Linked DNA regions of Mus musculus. The protein of the gene in region 1 purifies or fractionates together with the protein of each later gene. This does not show direct contact. Links are inferred from orthologs where the notes say so. Each region holds a gene or a part of one and is shown on either strand. Other genes may lie near its edges.

Region 1 (2,578 bases):
CTGAAAAGGCGTGTGGGACAAAGTTTCGAGGACCAAATGCCACAACCCCCCAAGAAAATAGTGTGTACATACCTTGGGTGGCCGTGGATCTCGCCTGGGTCCCCGCGGCAGGTGCAGGCTGTCCTGACCCCTCACCTGGGTTGGGGTGCAGGGAAGTCAGAGAGCCCAGCGACCTGCCTCGGGCCCAGCTCTCCTCTTCAGCCTCCACCACTTCTTCTTCCTCTTCTGGTTCCTCTGTACGGTGTCGCCGAGCCCGGTTGGGAAGAGCTGAAGGCAGTGGGCGGAACCCTCCATAGCTTCGGCCACCTCCAGGGTCAGCACCCTCACCATTGGGTCGTACTTCCCCAGCTCGTACACTCAGGTAGCCTAAGAGGCTTGGGGGCTCTCGGCGCTCAGCCGGAGCGGGTGCTGGGGCCAGGAGGAGTGCAGGGCCCAGTGGCTCATATGCCAGTAGGCTCAGGTCGGGAGGCTGAGGGGCCCTGGCAGGTGCAGAGCCAGGGCCTGGAGCACGCAAAGGACCCAGCTTGCTGGTGTGCACCTTCATGTGGTTCTTAAGGAACCAGGGCTCCTTGAAGCAGCGACCACATACGGGGCACGCATGATCAAAGGAGGCCTTGTGCTTGCGCATGTGACCCTTGAGAAACCAGGACTGTGTAAAGCTCTGGCCGCACACCTGGCAACGGAATTCAGGTGGCGCAGGGGGCTCCTCCGGAGGTGCAGGAGTTGGGGCAGGGTTTGCCTCCCGGTCAGGCTCTGGCCTAGGTTCAGGCTCAGGCTCAGGCTCAAGGGCAGATCTGGGTTCTTGCTGGGGTGGAGGCGGGGGTTCAGGCGTAGATGTAGCCGCCAGGGGGCGCTCGGAAGCCCCGTGGGCCGTCAGACTGTGGTGCAGCAACTCCTCCTCCTGGCTGGAGCCAAAACTGCACAAGCTGCACTTCCAGGGCCTGTGCAGGATATGCAGGTGGCGTTCCCGCTCCGCTGAGGTGCGAAACTTGCCTTTGCAGAAAGGGCAACGGAAGGCAGATGAGGAAGGGACCTGAGGGCGAGCCAGGCCCTCTGCGGCAGGGCTGGACTGCATGCCGCCTGAGCTTCTGGCTCTCCCGAGTCGGGCTTCGCGAAGCAGGGCGCGTTCCTCCAACTCCAGCAACAGCCGTGCAGCAGGGCTGCGTGGACGCTCCGGCTGGTGCGTTCGGAGGTGTGAGCGCAGCAGAGCCCGCTGCGCTGCGCGGTGGCCGCAATGTGGGCACTGGAAGGCTTGGGCGCCCGGGTGGGCTCTCAGGTGCAAAGCCAAGATGGAATTGAATCGGAAGCGCTTTCCGCACACAGGACAAGGGAAGCGCCGTTCGCCTGCACGAGTCTCAGACCAACCCACTGCTCCCATCCCAGGCGAGCCGGGTCCTGGAGTCCCACTGACACCTGGTCCGTTGGAGTAGCGCTGCAGATCCAGCTCGCCGTCGAAGGCTGGTGGGGAAGGCTCTAGGTGGCCGACCAGGATGCGGGGACGTGAGCCCTGTGGGGAAAGATGCACGTAGAGGACAGGGTGGAAAAGACCACCCTGTAGAATGTAGAAAAATGCAAAGGCACGAAGAACAGTAAGAAGAGTGTGTATGGAGGTTGGGAGATTGGGACCTAACCTAGGTACCTTGATACCTCTCACCTCCAGAAACTGTGGGATGAGTGGAAGTTGGACACCGGGGCCAAGTTAATAACGTATGCTACTATAATACGAAGTTTAAAAAACAAAGAAACAAAAAAGGAGGCAGGAGAGGGTGTCCCGCTGAAGGCACTTTGCAGGTCAAGGACAGAACTTCACTCACCTCCATGGACCCCCTTCACATTCTTTGGTTCTGAGGATTGGAAGGAGGAAGAAGAAAAGCTGCTAATGAAGGCAACAGGTGCGGAGGTGCTAAAACAAGACAGAGCGATTGGAGGAAAGATGAGCCCTGGCTTTTGGCAGTAGAGTCACCCCACTTAGCAGCCTGTATCCTTGAAACCCATCCCTTCTTCCTATTGTGATCTTGGGGTATTCCAGCCTTCTTATTTGCTGTCCTCAAAACTTGCATCCCTTCATCTGCCAACTTGTATGATAAATACAGACTTCCTCCCCCAAATGATGTTTTAAACACCTAGTCCAGAACCGCCGCCGCCACCACACACACACACACACACACACACACACACACACAATGTGGGAGGCCATCATAGTATACCCCTCTTCCACTCGCGTTGGGCTGTGCCCCTGGATAAACAAATGTGGAGGGCTAGCCATACTCCTGTTATCCAAATGGTACTAGCTCCTCTCAGACCAGGGCCAGCCAGCCAGAAGCCCTCCAGGTTCCTCCTCCTAGCTTCTGCCGGCACCCAGTCTTCTGGTCTTCCTCCTCCCCCTCCCCCTTCCTGGATTCCTGATCCATTCATTTCCATTCATTACAGAGACTCATTCATGCATGGGAGAGAAACACCTCCCAGCAGCAGAGTCTGGAGACAGAGGGGGAGGGGCGTGAAGGGAGAGCCAGCTACAGAGGGAATGAAGAGAGTTGGGGGGAGGCCTGGAAGTTAAGGGGCACTACCAGTCTAGGGA
Region 2 (4,240 bases), on another chromosome or scaffold:
TTTGTGTATTCATTCATTATGAATTTAAATTGTCCTGTTTTAGGTCCAGTTGTGTTAAATACATTACTAGAATTAATTTTATGCTACGTTCTGCTTTCAAAAATTGATTAGTGAAACATTTAAATTTATGTATGTGACTTGCTTTATATATTTTTACCAGCCATTGTAGAATGGGTAGCATTTGTTTCTTTATAAGAGAAAAATGTCACCAGGAAGCAGTTTGCCAGAAGGAGCCTAAGGGTGCTGCTGGTGGTGGTGGGGGAGGGTGGAAGAGGAGGTCCCCTCTTCTGCACCTTTCGTCCCAAAGAAGGGGGGATTAAGACCCCGGTGGTGGTCCCCTTTTTTTCTCTAGCGGAGAGGCTGACGCCGTTGTCACCAGATCCACAGATGATGTCTAAATATGACTAATTAAAAAAAAAAAAAACCTGCAAACCATGGCGATTAAAAACAACAGAAAAAGGTGGGCGTTTTATGTAATGTGATGAGCATTACTATGCAGGCAGAACTCCAAAATATAGTACCTTTGGAAGGTTATTCATCACATCCCAAATACGTTTGGTTGTGACGTTTCAGTCAGTTTAGAGATGGGCGGGGGCGTGTGTGGGGCGGGATAGGGTGGGGTGGGGAGGGGAAGAGGGGTCCAAAAAAAAAAAAAAAAATGGAGTGCAAACTCCGGGGAGTCGAAACTTTGCCAAGTTCACTCTTGCCTCCTTAGCCTATAAAAACCGTGTCGGGCACACAGTAGGTGCTCGGTTGAAATATTCCAAAGAGTTCGTGTGACAAACGTCATGACGGATGCAAGAGCGAATTTTCTAGTGGAGGTGTCGTTGTCTCTCCATCCAGCTTTTGTCAGTCTCAAAGGCGTCTTGGGTTCCCAAAGGGTTAAAAAAAAAAAAAAACAAACTCACTTAATCCAAGCAGAGACATGACATTTTTTTTTTCCCCGTCTCGAAATAAATGTCAAGAATGGGTTATTCTAATTCTGGGATAGAGCCAGACGTGGGCATCTGGAATGATTTCCGTGAATTAAAAAAAAAACAAAAAAACAAAAAACAACAAAAAAAACCAAAACCAAAAAGAAAAAGAAACCCAAAAAAACCAAAACCAAATCACCCCAATCGCCACCATTTTCTCCAGGTAATTTTCCATCCCTGCCCCCACAGTCAAGAGACACTGAGAAGAAGAAGAAGGAAAAAAAAAAGTACTTCTTCCATCCTCCCTGGCTGTTTAAGAAAAGAGGAAGGCGCGGGCCAATGAGCGGCGCGCGGGAGGCCGGGGCGCGGCGGGGGCGCCGCGGGGACCGCAGCCCCCCAAACTTTGGCAAGTTGCGGGCGGCGGCGCAGCGCGGGGCGCGGCCGCGAGAGGAGCCGCCCCCTCGACGCCCGCCGCCCCCTCCCGGTCCGGCCCCGGCCCAGCACCGACCGGCTGGGCTCAAAGTTTGCGGCCGCCCCTGCGCCGCGCGCCCGATGTATGGGTGATCTACTGCGGCGGCGGCGGCGGCGGCGGCGGCAGGGTGAGGGACGGCCATATTTGCCGGCGCGGCCCGAGCCGGCGACAACAAAAAGTGCGCGGGCTCCCGGCGGGCGCTCGGACGGCTGCGGGGACGTGGGGCCGCCCGGCCCGGGCCTCGGCCTCGGCCTCGCCGGCGCGCTCGCGGCCTGGCCCGGCTCTGCCCGGCGCGCCCGCCGCCCGCGGGGATGTCGTACAAGCCGAACTTGACCGCGCACATGCCCGCCGCCGCCCTCAACGCCGGTGAGTGAGAGCGAGCGAGCGCGGGCCGCGCGCGCCGCCCCGCGCCGCAAGTGTCGCCAAGTTGGGGGCTCGCGCTCCGGGCCGCGGCCCGGGGCTCCCCGGAGGCGCGCGGTGCCTTGGGCGGGCGTGCTGGCCGAGGATGGTGGCGCGAGGGAACGGGGCGGAGGGAAGGAGGTGTCCCGGGCCGGGGCAGCGGGAACGCCACCGCCGCCGACTCAGCCGCGCCGCCGCCGCCATGATTCCGCCGCCTCCGCTGCGCTGCCAAAGTTCGCGGTGCGCCCGGAGCTCGGCGGGGCAGCGGCCGGGGGCTCCCGGTGTGAGCGGCGGGGCGGCCGCGGATGGCGGGGAAGCGAGGACGCGGGCAGCCGAGCGAGGAAGGCTCCCCCCCCCCAGCTCCCCCCCTTTTTCTTTCCCCTTCCCTTAGGCTTTTTGGGCGGCTCGGCGAGGGCCCCTGCCGGCGGGAGGCGGGCGACGCAGTGAGCAAGGAGCGGGGCTCGGAGGGTCGGCGGAGCGGGACAGGCTGGGGCCGAGCCGGGTGCAGGGCGGCCGCGGGCCCGGGAGGGAATCTGGCCAGGGTTCCGGGCGGCGGGCCCGGTGGGCAGGGGCCGCTTCCTGGCGATGAGAGCGACTCCCGGGTTCCTTCCCCCGGCCCTCGGGAGACCCCTTGGAAGAAGTTGCAGTGCCCCGGCCTCGTGGGTTCTGTGGGCGGCATGCTGCGGCTCGCCGGTCCCGGGGGTCCCCATCTCAGATCTCCCACGTGGGGACGTCCCCGCAGGGCCGCGCTGCGCAAGCCAAGTGGACCTGGTCTCCCTTCCCCTCCGGGCCTGGGCGCCGCCGAGGAAACTCTTGCAAAGTTCCCAGGCAGCTTTGGGCTGTGGCTGGGGGCTAGCCCCGGACCCCAAGGGAACCCGGAATAGGGATGTGAAACTGACTTCCAGAGGTGACTGGCTTTGTGTCCAATTCCAGTACCCTCTCCTCCCAGACATTTGGCTGTGAGCAGACCACCCCAAGTAGTCTGATGCCCCAACAGATGCCAAGTAGTGGGGACCAGGAGGGATAAGGCCTTTGGGAGGAGTTGGGGGTAGAAGTTGGTTATGGTCGCTGTGTGTTAAAAATCCCACCCGCGTTGGCACTTCCAAGTTGGAGGTCTTGTGTCCAAATGTTGATTCCAGAACTCCAGAAACCCTCAGAGGGACCTGGAAAAGCTCTGGACGTGTGTTTTAAACCACTTCTCTGCTCTTTGGGGTTTGGAAAAGGTTGAGATTTAGGGTGCCAGCCTGGGAGAGTTGAAACGCTAGCACGTGGGCACAAAGACCCCCCCCCCCCAAGAGCATGCAGTCACTGTATCTTTTCAAATGGTTTCACTCCCTTTGGGTGACAGGATTTGTCGTCAGATATGATTTTTGCCTCTCAGTCTTCTTGGTCAGTGTTTGGGATGGAAGGGCAGTAGGTTGCGTTGCCAGCCCTAGGGAGACCAGAGACGTAGGCTTGATCTGGGCTAGTTTCCCGTGTGTCTTACACTGGGGACCTTTTGGGGTGTGGGTCCCAGTGCAGACCGCCCCTGGGACTCTGAAGCCCTGTTCTGGGCTTGCTAGCACCTGTATTCAGCTGTAGTTATTTTGCCAATGGGGAATGCCAGGATGCGTGCGGGGGTCTCCAGGTGTTCGGCATTTTGGTGGGGGCCCGCCCGCTTGCCGGTATTACTTTGCAGAAAGCCCTTCTCTCCCCTGCCATCTGCATCCAAGATGGACTCTCACAGTGGCTCCTCCGCCTTCCCTGTCATCATCTCTCACGCCCTCCAGGCCTGCCTCCTGCTCACTGAGTTGCCAAGCTGCGGCCTGGCCGGCAGTGGCAGTGGCGGAGTTAGACAAAGCCCCCGCCTTCCCCCGCCCGAGAGCCCCCCCCCCCCAGGGCGCCCCAAGTGGCGGGAAGGCCGCCAGCTCCCCAGGCCCAGGCCGCTCTTTGTCTGGCATGGGGGCGGGGAGCTGAGCCTGGCCCCAGGAGCTTCCTGGCCTCTGCCAAGCCCTCTCAGCTCTCTCACACTGCGCTCATTGTCTGAGATGCTCCACACCGGCTGAGCTGACGTGGAACCGCCTCCCTGGCCTCCTTCAGCCCAGGTGCCGGTGTCTTCCGGAAGAAGGGGGCATGATGGGCGGAGGAGCCCCCTTCCACCCTGAATCCCTCCCGGGGGGTGGGGGAGACAGACACCTTCCCTAATACTGCATATGGTGCTGGCTTTGACGCAAAGTCAGGTTTATCTCCACTCCTCCGGGGTGGTGGAAAATAGGCTTGAGGTCCTCCACCAGTATGGGGGGTACTTCTCATTCTTTCTGTATCCCCACTCCTCTAAGGGCATTCCCAAAGCCTTTAACCCTTCCATTGGGAAATATGGCCTCAAACAAGTAGAGAAACTGAGGCCTGGAAGAGCCTTGGCTGGTCCTACAGCCAAGTGGCACTGCTGGGACAGACCCCCAAGTCCTGGAGAAAA
Region 3 (4,250 bases), on another chromosome or scaffold:
AGGAGCCTGGGCAAGAGCCTTGCTCCCGCCCCTCTCTCCTAATCTCGCCATCAATCTCTCACACTTATATTTATTTTTTTCTCAAATTCCCCTCCCTCCCCCACAACGAACCTCCATAATAGGTCTACTGCACATGCGTACTGAATGCAGGAGGTGGGTTTGTATTTTCAGACCTTTTGCAAAGAAACTACCAGAATTTTCCGCACCACCCACAATCATTTCCCCACCCCCATCCCCACCCCCCAAGGAATCACATCTATATATTATGTTATATTATTTCTCTAGACTTGCCAGAAGGGGGAGGGAGAAGAAATGAGGTTTTTTTCTTTAGCTTCCTGCTCCCTTCCCCCACCAACACGAATGCTATTATTTTAAACGTTCAACAATGTAAGGAGACTGGCGCGATGGGGGAAGGGATAAAAATTGGTCTTGGGTAAGAATGTAAAACAAAAATGGTGAGAATCAAAGCAGTCGCACTGAAAAACAATGGAAGGCTCTCACGAGTACAAATTCATATTCCAGAAAGAGACGAGGGCGGGCAGCCTGAACAGAGCTCCTTAAGAGGAGACTTATTTTTCCCCACACTGAGGTAGACGGATAATGAGTACGCTAAAAATATTTTCCGAAAGTTTTACCTCAGAAAGTCATCTGAGGGGGTGTATCTGGGTCATTTTGACTTGGAGGGCTGGAAGGGGGATGAAATTGCCCAGGGAGACAGAGGAGGTGAGATTTCATTTCAAACATAAAAATTCAAAAGCTTTTGACGCTTCTCAAGGATTCAAAAGCAAGGGGGGAGGGAGGACGCCACACAAAGACCCATCTCGACCTTAGGCTCGTTCATTCTCCTCTCTTACAGGCATCCAGTGCCGGGGATCAAAACCAGATCCGGAGTTCAGAACAGTTAGGCGAGAGTTACCGACGCCCTAACTCACCTGACAAGCCCCTCTCCCCTCTTTTTCACACCTTGCCGCAGGCAGCCCTGCGGGCAGCCCTCTCTCTCCTCAGGATCTTTAATTCTTCCCCCACTCCAAGGGAATCCTGAGGGCTCGCTGGAATAACTTTTTTCTAAACTTTTCCTCTTTTACAGGTAAACCTGACGAGGTTAGGGGTGAGGCTTTACCCAATACGCATTAAACACATTATTTTTAACACCCCCCACCCCCGGAAAAGCTGTCTCAACACGTGCGACAAAAAGTCACAGTGGTCAGTAAGACAGTTTTACAAATAACGTTTTAAAGTTTGGTGTGTGTGTGCTGCTCTGCCGCCAGAGACTTGGGGGTGTGGATGTCCCCAATCAGAGGTTGGCGACACCTATCCTAAAGAAGCTAGAAATCACTCTCCACTTGGAGGGTGGTCTGAGAGTTGCGCCACTGATCCAGAGAAGGGTCTGTCCCAAGCACAGCTGGACGTCCTACGCCAGTGGCAGGTGACTTGTCATCTCGGAGAAGGGTGCTGAGTGATGATGGTCAGGACAGAGCAGCTGGGTGGGCAGTTCACGCCCCCCAACGTGGTCAGGGTGTGTGGGTGGTTTCATCAAGAGAGTGACAGTGAATGGCAGCCACGTGAGAGTCACAGCTGGGCAGTTCGGCCACCCCAGACTGACGGGGTCACGAGGGGGGGATGGGGGCTGCACTTGACACAAAAGAGCCCGGGGCAGAGATGACGAGGGTGGGGCCGGGGGCATCTGGCTCCCCAGACATTCTCCTGTCTCTCTTCAAATCTGAGGTGACCCGAGACCTCGGCGGCCAGCTAGGGGGGAGTGGACGGTATGTCCAAGTCTTACTCCAGGAAGTGGTCTGCGTGGAGTGTGGCCACCACCTGCCTCTGGTCATCAGCCGCTACAAACATTCGCACGCCCCCTCCCACGCGTGCCACCGCACACCCCTAAGTTGGCGGGCACCGAAGTCCCTGCAGGTGGAGGGGCTGGTCCGCGGGCCACTGTCCCACCTCTGCTTGCCCAAGTCCCCAGCGGAGGGCGTCGGGTGGCAGTCAGCTCCACACCCCGAACCCACTCGGCTTCAGTCCGACCCCACCGGGGCCCGGCCCAAGGGGCGCTCACGCGGCCGCCCCTCCCCCACGCGCCCCTCCCCCCACGCCGCCGTCCGGTCGCCGGGGTCTCCGCGGTCCCTCGCTCGGCCTGGGAGGGGGGCCCTGGCTTCGCTACGGCCGTTTCCTGCCTACCCCCTCCCCGCCGAGGGTGAAAAAAATAAATCTCCTCCCCCGAAAGCCGCGACCAAGTGGCCCGGTCCGCGCGCGCAGCTCGCTCCCTGCGCTCTCCAGCCCGGGCGCGGCGGCGGCGGCGGCGGCGGCGGTGGCGGCGGCCGCGGTAGCGGCGGAGGAGGGGTGCGGCGGGGGAGGGGAGGAGGCCTGGCCCCAAGGCCGCCGCCGCCCGGACTGCCGGGCCCGTCTAGACCCGCCAGGCGCCCGGGACTCTCCTCGGCTCGGCCGAACCGTAGGTGCCGGGCCCCGCGGCTCCGCTCGGGCCCCGGGGAGTCGGACGGACGCTTACCTGGTGGCGGGGGCGGCGGCAGCGGCGGCGGCGGCGGCGGGAAGAGGTGGCAGCTGGGGGGGCTGTGGCGGTCGCGGCTCCGGTCGTGGCCCGGCCCGCGCCCGAGTACTCCCTCTTCGTCCTCCTCCTCATCGTCCTCGTCGGCCGCCTCCACCTCCTCCTCCTCCTCGTCGCCCTCTTCTTCCTCCTCTTCTTCCTCCTCCGACACCACCATCTCCTCCTCCTCCTCCTCCTCGTCCCTCAGAGGGGAAGCCATCCTGTGGCTCTGGCCCCCCCACCACCCCCCCACCCACCGCCCGCCCGCCTCCCCCACCGCTACCACCACCACCTCCTCCTCCTCCTCCTCCTCCTCCTCCTCCTCCTCGGCGGCGGCGTCCTCCTCCTCCTCCTCCTCACCGCCTCCCCCAGCCCCCCAAACCCCCGGGCCACCCCCCTCCAGAACACCCACCCCCGGGGCCGGCGTCTGAGGAGGGGGGCCGCACCACCCCCAAAAATGTTCTTGGAAAAATTTAAGGACTTTTTCCCCCTTCTGTCTTTCCTCCCAAGAGAACAAGAAAGGGAGATCGTTTAAAAAAAAAAAATTATATATATGTATATAAAAGTTTTCGACTTCTCTCTACCCCCCTCGGTTGCTTTAAATATATTTAAATTCTGAGGGGGGCGCTCAGAAATATTTCTCAGAGCTGAGGCACTAAGATGGCCGCCTTGAAATTATTTTTAAAACAACCCCCCCTCCAGCACTGCCACCCCCCTCTATAAAGAAAGAGAGAGGGGGGTAAAATCCCCTTTTAAAACAAAATGGCTGGCTTAATATTTCATTTTTCATACACCCCCATTCTCCCTGTTACATCCAATCTCCAAGCTTCTACTCAGAAACCCACAAATTTCTCCCTTTTTTCATAACTGATTAGTGCACAGATTAATACATTTTCCTTGTGTATTGAGAGAGAGAGAGAGAGAGAGAGAGAGAGAGAGTGTGTGTGTGTGTGTGTGTGTGTGTGTGTGTTGGGGGGCATGAAGGATTTCTGCATAAAACAAAAATGGCTGCTGTGACTTAACTCCCCCCCTTATAAAAATATTTGGGGGGGTATTAATCAGTACTCATGCTCAGTCTGACATCAGCATAAATTGTTAAAGGTTAACTAGTTAGATACTAGTCCAACTAGATTGAATTTTTCTTTTCTTTACTAGTCTTCTTCCTCCCCCCACCTCCCTTCTCTAAAGAAAAGCTTTTTTTTTTTTTTTCTGAATACTTCAGAAGGGAGTGGTTTGATGTGAAGGTTTTTTTTTTTTTTCCTTCAGGCATTGAAAAGGAAAAAGATGAAATATATGTTTATATATAACTCTCTACATACCTCATTGAAGTCAAAATGCATTTAATTGTGTACGTAGCTTTTAAATGAGAAATGGTACTGGCTTTTTTTTTTTTTCTCCTTAAAAAAAAAGTGACAGAAATCCTAGTGACTTTGGGGGGAGAGATATGAATAGATGATTGAGTTTTTTTTCCAAGGAGTCCATGTTTGATTCTCTCCTTTGCCCAGCCCTCAGTGTTCTGTGAATGTTGTCAATTTTATCTCTACTCTTTCCCTTCCTCTCCTCCAGTGGCTTGCTTGTAAAATCGTCTGACTTGAGAAATTAATTTGGTGGTGACTAGGTCAGATTTTTAGGAGAAAGAGGAGAGGGTCGGATCTGAAGATTGTGAAATTCTTTTCTCCTGTGTCATCGAACGCCTCTTCCTCCA

What was found. The genes of interacting proteins can lie anywhere in the genome.
Region 2: the proteins of Zfp219 (region 1) and Cdk2ap1 purify together in Homo sapiens (affinity purification with mass spectrometry; 3 studies listed by BioGRID and IntAct, counting the BioPlex papers as one, with this or other methods). This does not show direct contact. The link is inferred for Mus musculus from reciprocal best matches to the Homo sapiens genes ZNF219 and CDK2AP1.
Region 3: the proteins of Zfp219 (region 1) and Chd3 purify together in Homo sapiens (affinity purification with mass spectrometry; 3 studies listed by BioGRID and IntAct, counting the BioPlex papers as one, with this or other methods). This does not show direct contact. The link is inferred for Mus musculus from reciprocal best matches to the Homo sapiens genes ZNF219 and CHD3.

Annotation. Positions count from the first base shown.
Region 1 is NC_000080.6:52,008,156-52,010,733, forward strand, and holds part of Zfp219 (zinc finger protein 219), read right to left. Parts: exon of another isoform or gene 1,904-2,578; 5' UTR 1,821-1,903; coding exon 1,815-1,820; intron 1,508-1,814; coding exon 73-1,507; intron 1-72. UniProt on the Homo sapiens protein: Transcriptional regulator. Recognizes and binds 2 copies of the core DNA sequence motif 5'-GGGGG-3'. Binds to the HMGN1 promoter and may repress HMGN1 expression. Regulates SNCA expression in primary cortical neurons.
Region 2 is NC_000071.6:124,351,829-124,356,068, reverse strand, and holds the start of Cdk2ap1 (cyclin-dependent kinase 2-associated protein 1), read left to right. Parts: upstream 1-1,440; 5' UTR 1,441-1,697; coding exon 1,698-1,752; intron 1,753-4,240. UniProt on the Homo sapiens protein: Inhibitor of cyclin-dependent kinase CDK2. Also acts as a component of the histone deacetylase NuRD complex which participates in the remodeling of chromatin.
Region 3 is NC_000077.6:69,366,627-69,370,876, forward strand, and holds the start of Chd3 (chromodomain-helicase-DNA-binding protein 3), read right to left. Parts: upstream 2,801-4,250; 5' UTR 2,766-2,800; coding exon 2,510-2,765; intron 2,453-2,509; exon of another isoform or gene 2,364-2,452; intron 1,095-2,363; exon of another isoform or gene 933-1,094; intron 1-932.